Notamacropus eugenii: one gene and its partner. The protein of the gene in region 1 purifies or fractionates together with the protein of each later gene. This does not show direct contact. Links are inferred from orthologs where the notes say so. Each region holds a gene or a part of one and is shown on either strand. Other genes may lie near its edges.

Evidence for each region.
Region 2: the proteins of CAPN2 (region 1) and AFG2B purify together in Homo sapiens (co-immunoprecipitation; 3 studies listed by BioGRID and IntAct, with this or other methods). This does not show direct contact. The link is inferred for Notamacropus eugenii from reciprocal best matches to the Homo sapiens genes CAPN2 and AFG2B.

What each region holds. Positions count from the first base shown.
Region 1 is NC_092873.1:412,734,815-412,738,723, forward strand, and holds the start of CAPN2 (calpain-2 catalytic subunit), read right to left. Parts: upstream 2,995-3,909; 5' UTR 2,954-2,994; coding exon 2,717-2,953; intron 1-2,716. UniProt on the Homo sapiens protein: Calcium-regulated non-lysosomal thiol-protease which catalyzes limited proteolysis of substrates involved in cytoskeletal remodeling and signal transduction. Proteolytically cleaves MYOC at 'Arg-226'.
Region 2 is NC_092878.1:52,183,548-52,187,456, forward strand, and holds the start of AFG2B (ATPase family gene 2 protein homolog B), read right to left. Parts: upstream 2,810-3,909; coding exon 1,712-2,809; intron 245-1,711; coding exon 59-244; intron 1-58. UniProt on the Homo sapiens protein: ATP-dependent chaperone part of the 55LCC heterohexameric ATPase complex which is chromatin-associated and promotes replisome proteostasis to maintain replication fork progression and genome stability.

The DNA of each region.
Region 1 (3,909 bases):
GGAAGAGGCCTTGAAGGTCATGTAGTATAACCGTTTCTTTTTCTTCCTTCCTTCCTTCCTTCCTTCCTTCCTTCCTTCCTTCCTTCCTCCCTCCCTCTCTTCCTTCCTTCCTTCCTTCCTTCCTTCCTTCCTTCCTTCCTTCCTTCCTTCCTTCCTTCCTTCCTTCCTCCCTCCTTCCCTCCTTTCTTCCTTCCTTTTTTCCTTCTTTCCTTTCCTTTCCTTTCCTTTCCTTTCCTTTCCTTTCCTTTCCTTTCCTTTCCTTTCCTTTCCTTTCCTTTCCTTTCCTTTCCTTTCCTTTCCTTTCCTTTCCTTTCCATTTTGTTCAGTGGTTTCACTTGTGTCTGACTCTCTGTGACCCCATTTGGGGTTTTCTTGGCAAAGATACTGGAGTGGTTTGCCATTTCCTTCTCCAGCTCATTTTTACAGATGAGGAAACTGGGGCCAGCAGAATTAAGTGACTTGCTAATAAATGTCTGAGAACAGATCTGCAGTCAGGAGGATAAGTCTTCCTGACTTCAGACTCAGAACTCTATTTATTCATGGTACCACCTAGTTTTTTTTTACACAGATGAGAAAACTGAAGCCTAGTTATGTGATTCACACAACGTCACACAGATAGTAAGTAGTAGAAGCAGAATTTGAATTCAGATCTCTGATTCTAAATCTAATGACTTCACCACTAGACCACAACAGAGGAAGGACTTCAGAGGTTACAGCACAAAGTAAGGGCAGAGGAAAACAGTGACTGAGGAAGCATTAGGGTTGAGTTTACTATGAGGCACAGTCTATAGCCATTGGTACAGTCAGTAGCAACTACTTTGTGGCTGATCCCCTACTGATCTCCAGGCCACAGGTTAGGTAGCTAATTGGAGATCCAGAGTTTGGATGAGGAGGTGCCCCCCAGAAGGGCACAAAGGGCATAATGAACCCCATGGGGACAGGTGGACTCCTTGAGGCCAAGGGAGGAAGCGAACTGGTTGGATAGCTAGAACTGGAAACCTTTCTAGAGTAGATGGAGAAATCACCCTCTCTCCATAACTCCTCTAACTCTCTACTTCCCCATGTCAGCATTAGGGGTACAGCCCAATTGCCCCATACTGGTTGTAGATTTGGCTCTTATTGTTAAGGATTATTCCACGTATTTTCAAAAACTTTTTTCACGCCTTTGGCTTTCTTTCTGAAGTCCACAAATGTAGCTAAGAAATTCCTGATCAGGCCAAATTAGGCCAGGGAGAATTCACTGTAGCCAGAATAAACAGCTAACCTCTGTTTCATTCATAAATGTTGTAGCAAAAATGAGAAAGTGGGTCAAGGGAAAGGCACAGATGAGAGAATGTAAGATGACAATCGCCTTTTCAATCATTCCAATGACCTTAAAGAGAGATCCTCAAATTCCTCACTCAGGTCTGGTAAACAGACTGTGGAGGAACAATTCAAATGTGGAAGGACAGGAGATTGGGCCCCCCCAAGGTGCACCTGTCTAATATGCACAGACATTTCCACTGAGAAGGCAGAAAATGTCCAAGGACCAGCTCATCTGTCTGCCTGCCTTGGATCTTGTGAAAGTTGATGGGTGTGTGAAACGGGAGGCTTGACAAAAGAGGCTGTATGTAATAAGGAGAAACCTCAGGCCTGAGTGTCTGAGGAAGCGGGAGTGACCATGAAAAGGAGTCCTCTGGAGTATCTCTTCCTTCCCAGATTTTACCTCCAGTTAAAGTACTACCAGATAGCTCAGCTGTCTTTCAGTGGAGAAACAAAATACTTTCTGTATAGAAATGAATGAATTTTGCAGATGAGGAAACTGAGGCCTAGAGACACTGATGTACCTGACTAGTTAGGGGTGGAGATGGGAGTAGATCCAGTTTCTCCTCTGTCCTCATGCCAAGTTCTTTCTACAATGCACCAGGTTACATGGCTCCTCAAATATTTGCTTCTTAGCTGCTTTTCCCTATGGTCCATTTTTCCTTTATCTTCAGACTTTGACTCACAACAGGGTATCCCAGATCTCTGAGGAGCTAGCTATCCCCGGTCTTTACCAGCTTTCTCCTGATTAATGTTGACTCTGTGGATGCCGAGTTGTGATGACAGCCGGGCTTGCCCTGGAAAATCTTGCTCTGTATTGTGTGTGAGGAGGAAAGACTACATGTGTTCCAGGCCTCCTGGAATCCGGGCTCCCCTAAGGGACCCTCCTACAAGTCCTTTGCACTGAGTAACCTCAGTTCCTTTAATAGAGTAAGCAGGCCAGATGTTCGGAAAAGCTGAACTCTGGTTGGCTGCTTTCTATAAGGGCGCAGCTGATTCTTTCCTGAACCATTCCCGTCTCCTTCCGCTTGGATTCTACTTCTATTTTCCTGGGTGTGTAGCCTATACCGCACCACCCTTTCTACCTTTCTCATTACCCAGAACAGCTAACAGCGCTTTAGTTAAGTGTCAGCTAACAGCGAGGGCTAGTACTAACTCTAATATGGATGGATGATTCACTTCGTTTCAGTTCAATCCAACAACTATTTAATAACTACCTACTGTATACAGAGTCCTGGATTAGGTATAGGGGGGGCAATACCAACTTGAGATACAAACTGGCATACAGACTGACCTCCTGGCATTGACTCTTTAATTCAGGCTTTGCTGAGGGAGGGAGGGACTCCAGTCCCCTCTCCCTGCTCGGATCGCTTCCCCATCCCACCCCAGAACAGCTTGCCAGTACACTGCCTACCGTGGGTCTCTTCCAGACGACGCCTTGAGTTTTGCTCGAGTGCGGTCCCAGTTCCTTGAACCCCAGGGAAGATATAATCGCCGGGAAGGAAGGATCCTGAAAGAGTTTACCCTCCTCCAGGCATTCGTTGAGAAGTGTCTCGTAGTCCTGGTTGAGGTATTTGACCGCGAGGTCGTGAGTGCCCAGGCCGGCCGCCGCCTCTCGGTCTCTCACCACTTTGGCTGCGATGCCCGACATGGCTCCGGTCCTGGGTTGCTGCCACGGCCTAGGAAATGCGGCTCAGAAGGCGCTGGGGCTGCCCAGGAGCAGAGGGAGGCTGCAGGCGCGAGGAGCAGGGGCACGCCAGGGGGTTGGAGCTGGTGCTGCTATCCTGTTTGCGGATGGGGGTGATTCACCGGAGAGGGAAGGGCACCACCAGCTCACCCGCCGCAGAAGGCTGGGTGTGGCTTTGTCTCCTAACTCTGCGCCGCTTTGCAGCGGGACTCCGGGCCCAAAGACTTCAGGGGAGGAGCCAAGCCCCGTGGAAGGACAGCTCCACTGGATGTGCTGCCCTCTGCGGGCAGTCTGGGCACACGCGCCCGCACAGGGCACCTCTTCTCCCCCAGATCCTGCTCCCCATCCCCTGGGAAGTTGCTGCCTTCCCTTCCACCTCTCCCAAGGAGGCTAGGCACTTAGGGGGCCCACTTATCTCCACGGAGTATGGAGAAGATGACGCAGTAGTTAGAGCTCTGGATCAGGAGAAAAGAAGACCAAGTTCACATTCCGTTGGCTTTGTGATCTGGGGCAAAGTACTTAATTGCTTTCGGTCTCAGTTCTTGTTCATCCTCAGTTCTCAATAATACTAACCTTTACCTCACGGGGATATTGTGAGGGTAAATTGGGATAATATTTGTAAAGCGTTTTGCACACCTTAAAATGTTACTATGTAAATGCGTGCTACTATTATTATTATTGTTAAGATAATATGTATCTCAGGCAGGGGTTCTTCAATTGTGATCCATGAACTTGAATGTGTGTGTATACACATACATAAATACATGCATAAATTTTAAAATGAATATGATATATAAATATATATGATAAATGTATGCATATATCAACATAATTGGTTTTCTTTGTAATTCTATGTATTTTATTTTGTGCATTGAACAACTTTGTTCTGAGAAAAGAGTCCAAAGGATGATGCTGGAACT
Region 2 (3,909 bases), on another chromosome or scaffold:
TTGCTGAATAACTAAAGTCTACAATACAAAAGACTCCACCACTGAGATAACTTCATACCTTACCCGTGTGATGCACCGCCTGCATGGCAGCCTCTCTGCAGAGTGCTGTCAGATCAGCTCCAACGTAGCCAGTCGTCATTTCTGCCAAGTGAAGGAGATCCACATTACTGGAGACAGGCATCTTGGAAGTTATCACTTGGAGAATATCTTTCCTTTGCTTCAGGGTGGGCGTCCCAATGATGATCTGAAACAAAACAAACACCCAAAGTGAAGTGGACATAAGGTTTTTGAATTTATAGCTTTTCTATTTTCCTCACTTTTTTCTGGCAGTTCAAGTCAAAAGGCATTTTAGCACCCACTACAAAGAATGTGAAAAATTGGACAGTTCTAATCCCACCAGAAGATCATTAGATGAAAATTTTGCAAATGAACTTGTGTCAGGCATTCTACGTAGCAGGGCGGCCAATTGGCGAAGTGGATAGAGTGCTGGACTTGTAGTCAAGAATACTCGTCTTCCTGCGTTCAAATCTGGCCTCACACACTTACTAGCTGTGTGACCCTGCACAGATCACTTGACTGTTTTGCCTCAGTTTCCCCACCTGTAAAATGAAGGCACGGCAAGTCACTCCAGTATCTTTGCCAAAAAAATCCCAAATGGGGTCACAAAAGAGTTGGACACTACTGAAAGTGACTGAACAATAAGTTCTAGGTAGTATGGTTGTAGAAACCTAACTCAGACTCTTTGCTGTGGTTCAGTTAAACATTCTTTAAAAGTCCTTTACAACTTTAACAAAAAAATTCAATTTAGTACTAATGATAAATACAAGTAGTTTTTTTCTTAAAATAACTTTCTGTTGCTATTTTTGTTGCTTACATTTCTGTCCTTACTGGCTCAGGGCGCCATCTCCTATAATAAAGAATTTGGTAGCAACAGTTCTAAAAGTTTCCCCACAGGGCAGCAAACCAAAAGTTGTCTAAGTTACCTAATTCAGTTTTATAAATCCCTCCCTTTTTGAGAAAACAGCGCTACGCAATCCTTGCTTAAAATGAACTGTCCCATTTAATTTCTCAGTACTCAGTCTTTAAGACTAAATTAGAGAGAAGCTGCAGATGAAACAGCCAAGGGTAGAATTCTTTTGTACCAGTCCTTGGTAACTGGATTGAAACGGGCAAATACAGTGCATCCCAACGGCCAGGAAGGCTCTTCCTTATAGAAGGCCTAAAAGACTGAGTTAGAAGGGTGGCTTTGTCGTCAGAAGACCAGGGTTCCCAGTGGGCCTCAGACACTCACGCACGACTTGATCCTCCAGCCAATCACTTAAGCTTCCGATGTTCCATCTGAACCTCTGGAGCTGTTCACAGCAGAACTGGGCCTGCAGGGTGATGATGAGGACCAGCACTCCGCGGTCTGCAGAGGAGCTTACCGGATCTCACGGGAGCCCCCCGCAGCCTGAGGAGGTGGGGGCTATGGCTCCCACTTTACAGATCAAGAACCTGGGGCTGAGGGCTGGGGCCCGCCAGGGTCAGCCAGGTAGGCGGCAGGGCAGCTCGGACACTTGGAGCCCTATGACCTTTCATCTGCCAAGCGCAGCCCCGACCTCCCGGAACCGTGAGGACCCAGGGGGCAGACGATGTAAAGTGCCCGCACAGCCTGGCGGATGGTAAGCGCTACGGACGTGACTTCCCGGGGCCCCGGCCCCCACGCCCTCACCTCGCGGTCCAGGCGGCCAGGCCTGCGCAGCGCCGGGTCCAGGGCGTCGGGCCGGTTGGTGGCGGCCACCAGGGGCACGCGCCGCTCGCTGCCCACGCCGTCCAGCAGGGTGAGCACCTGGGCCACGGCTCTGGCCTCGGGCGCCCCGCGCGGGCCGCCCCGCCGCGGGCACAGCGCGTCCAGCTCGTCGATGAAGAGGACGGCGGGCCCTCGCCCGGCCAGCTCCCGGGCCCGCGCGAACACCCGGCGGACGTTGTCCTCGGTCTCGCCGGGCCGCGAGCCCTGCAGCTCCGCGCCGCTCACGGCCAGCAGCCGGGCCCGCGCCTCCCGGGCCACGGCTCTCACCAGCTGCGTCTTGCCCACGCCGGGCGGCCCGACGAGCAGCAGCCCGCGGGGCGCGGACCCGCCGAGCGCCGCCAGGGAGCGGGCCTGCAGGGGCGGCGGGCGCAGCAGCTCCCGCAGCGCCGCGGCCGCCTCGGCCAGCCCGCCCAGCGTGGCCTCCGCCGGAGGCTCCGGGGCCGGGGGCGCCGACGGCTCGCCCAGCTCGACGCGGGTGCGCGGCGTGACCAGCGCGGCGGGCTCCGGGCGGGGGTCGCCCCCGAGCACGTGCAGGGCGGCCAGCGGGCCGGCGGAGCCCGGGGGCGCCGTCAGCACCGAGCGCGCCCCGACCGGCCTGTTCCGCAGCAGCTCCTGCGCCGCCTCCAGCACCGAGGTCGGGCTCGAGAGCTCGGCCGGGGCCGGCGGCTCCCGCAGCACGGGCCACACGGTGACGCTGCGCAGAGGCGGGCAGGGCACGGCGCGCAGGCTGCTCAGGCGGATGCTCCGGCCTGGCCCCCACGGCCCCGCGGCCGCGCCGGGGCTGGCGCACCCCGGGTCGAGCTGCACGAAGCCGTCGGACAAGTCGCGCCGGGGCCAAGCGGTGCACAGGCAGGAGCCGCCATCCGGCAGGGCCACCAGGAGGGCGGCGCCCAAGCGGACCTTCAGGGCGCGGAGGGCGGAAGGGCCCAGGCGGCAGCGCTGCGTCCCGCGGTCCCCGGAGTCCAGGGGTAGCAGCTTCAGAAGCGGATCCGTCTGGGGGACCCCCGAGTCCGGAGCCATCGCGCCGGGCTCGGCGGCATCAGCGGCTGACCCGCACGCCGTAGAATTCCCTCGGCGGGCCAATCGCGTCCCAGCGCGATGACGTAGTCTTTCCTTCCCTCACCCTGGTCCCCGCGAGAGGGCCGGAAAACGATGGTGCGCACGCGCCAAGCAATTGTCGCGGACTCTGACTCGAGAGCCTGTGATCGAAGGAATGAAAGTGTGTGGTAGGGTAGTATTTACATACGGCTTCTGATTGGTTCCCTCACACTCGGCTTCTCCCGGGATGGAATCTGTGACTCCGCCAGTTACCCGCTAGGTGGAGCTCTCAGGTAACGAGCCTTGCACCTGCAGTCCGGAAGCTCCGAGTTCAAATGCAACCTTGCACCCTGATAGTCATGTGACCCCGAGCAAGGCCCTTAACCTCGCCGCCTTATTTACCTCATCTTTAAAATAATAGCGCCCCCTGCCGGGGTGGTGCGGCTCCGGTGGGACGGGGCTGTCTCGGCAGCCCTTTGAGTGCCGTGGGAAGCTGCCTGACGCGCTCCTGCGCCTGCTGCCCCCTGCCGGAGTCGTCGTGCAACACCTCCACTCTCCATTTTACAGATGGGGAAACTGAGGCCCAGGAGGGAAAGTCCCTCCCGCCCACGTGGCAGAGACGAGTCCGAACCCTCTTCCTCGACTCCAGCGCCCCGAGCTTCCTCCGTGGGAAGCCAGAGGCCTTCAGCGGCGCTCTCTGCGGCTCCGCACCCGCGTCATGGGACCCCCCGGGGAGAGCTGACCCCAGCTGACCCCAGGGTGCCAGGCGGCAAAGGAAGGAAGGGGGAGACAGACAGACAGACAGACCGTGTGCTCCCTTCCCTGGCTTCGCACCCCGAGGCCTCCTCACCCAGCCGGAGGATCGCCCTTGTCTGCCGAGGGGGCGTCTCCGTCCGTCCGAAAGGGTTAGGGTGAGTGAGCTCAGGAAAGCCGCCTCCCTTTACCCCTCCCCCCCTCTGCCCCTCCCTCCTAGGAGACCGCGTGGACGGAGCTGAAAGTCCGGGTGCAGAAGGGGTTCCGAACCTCCCTTGTTGTCCTGGGCCTCCGACCGTTGGGGAAAAGCTCGGGAAAAGATCGTGCAG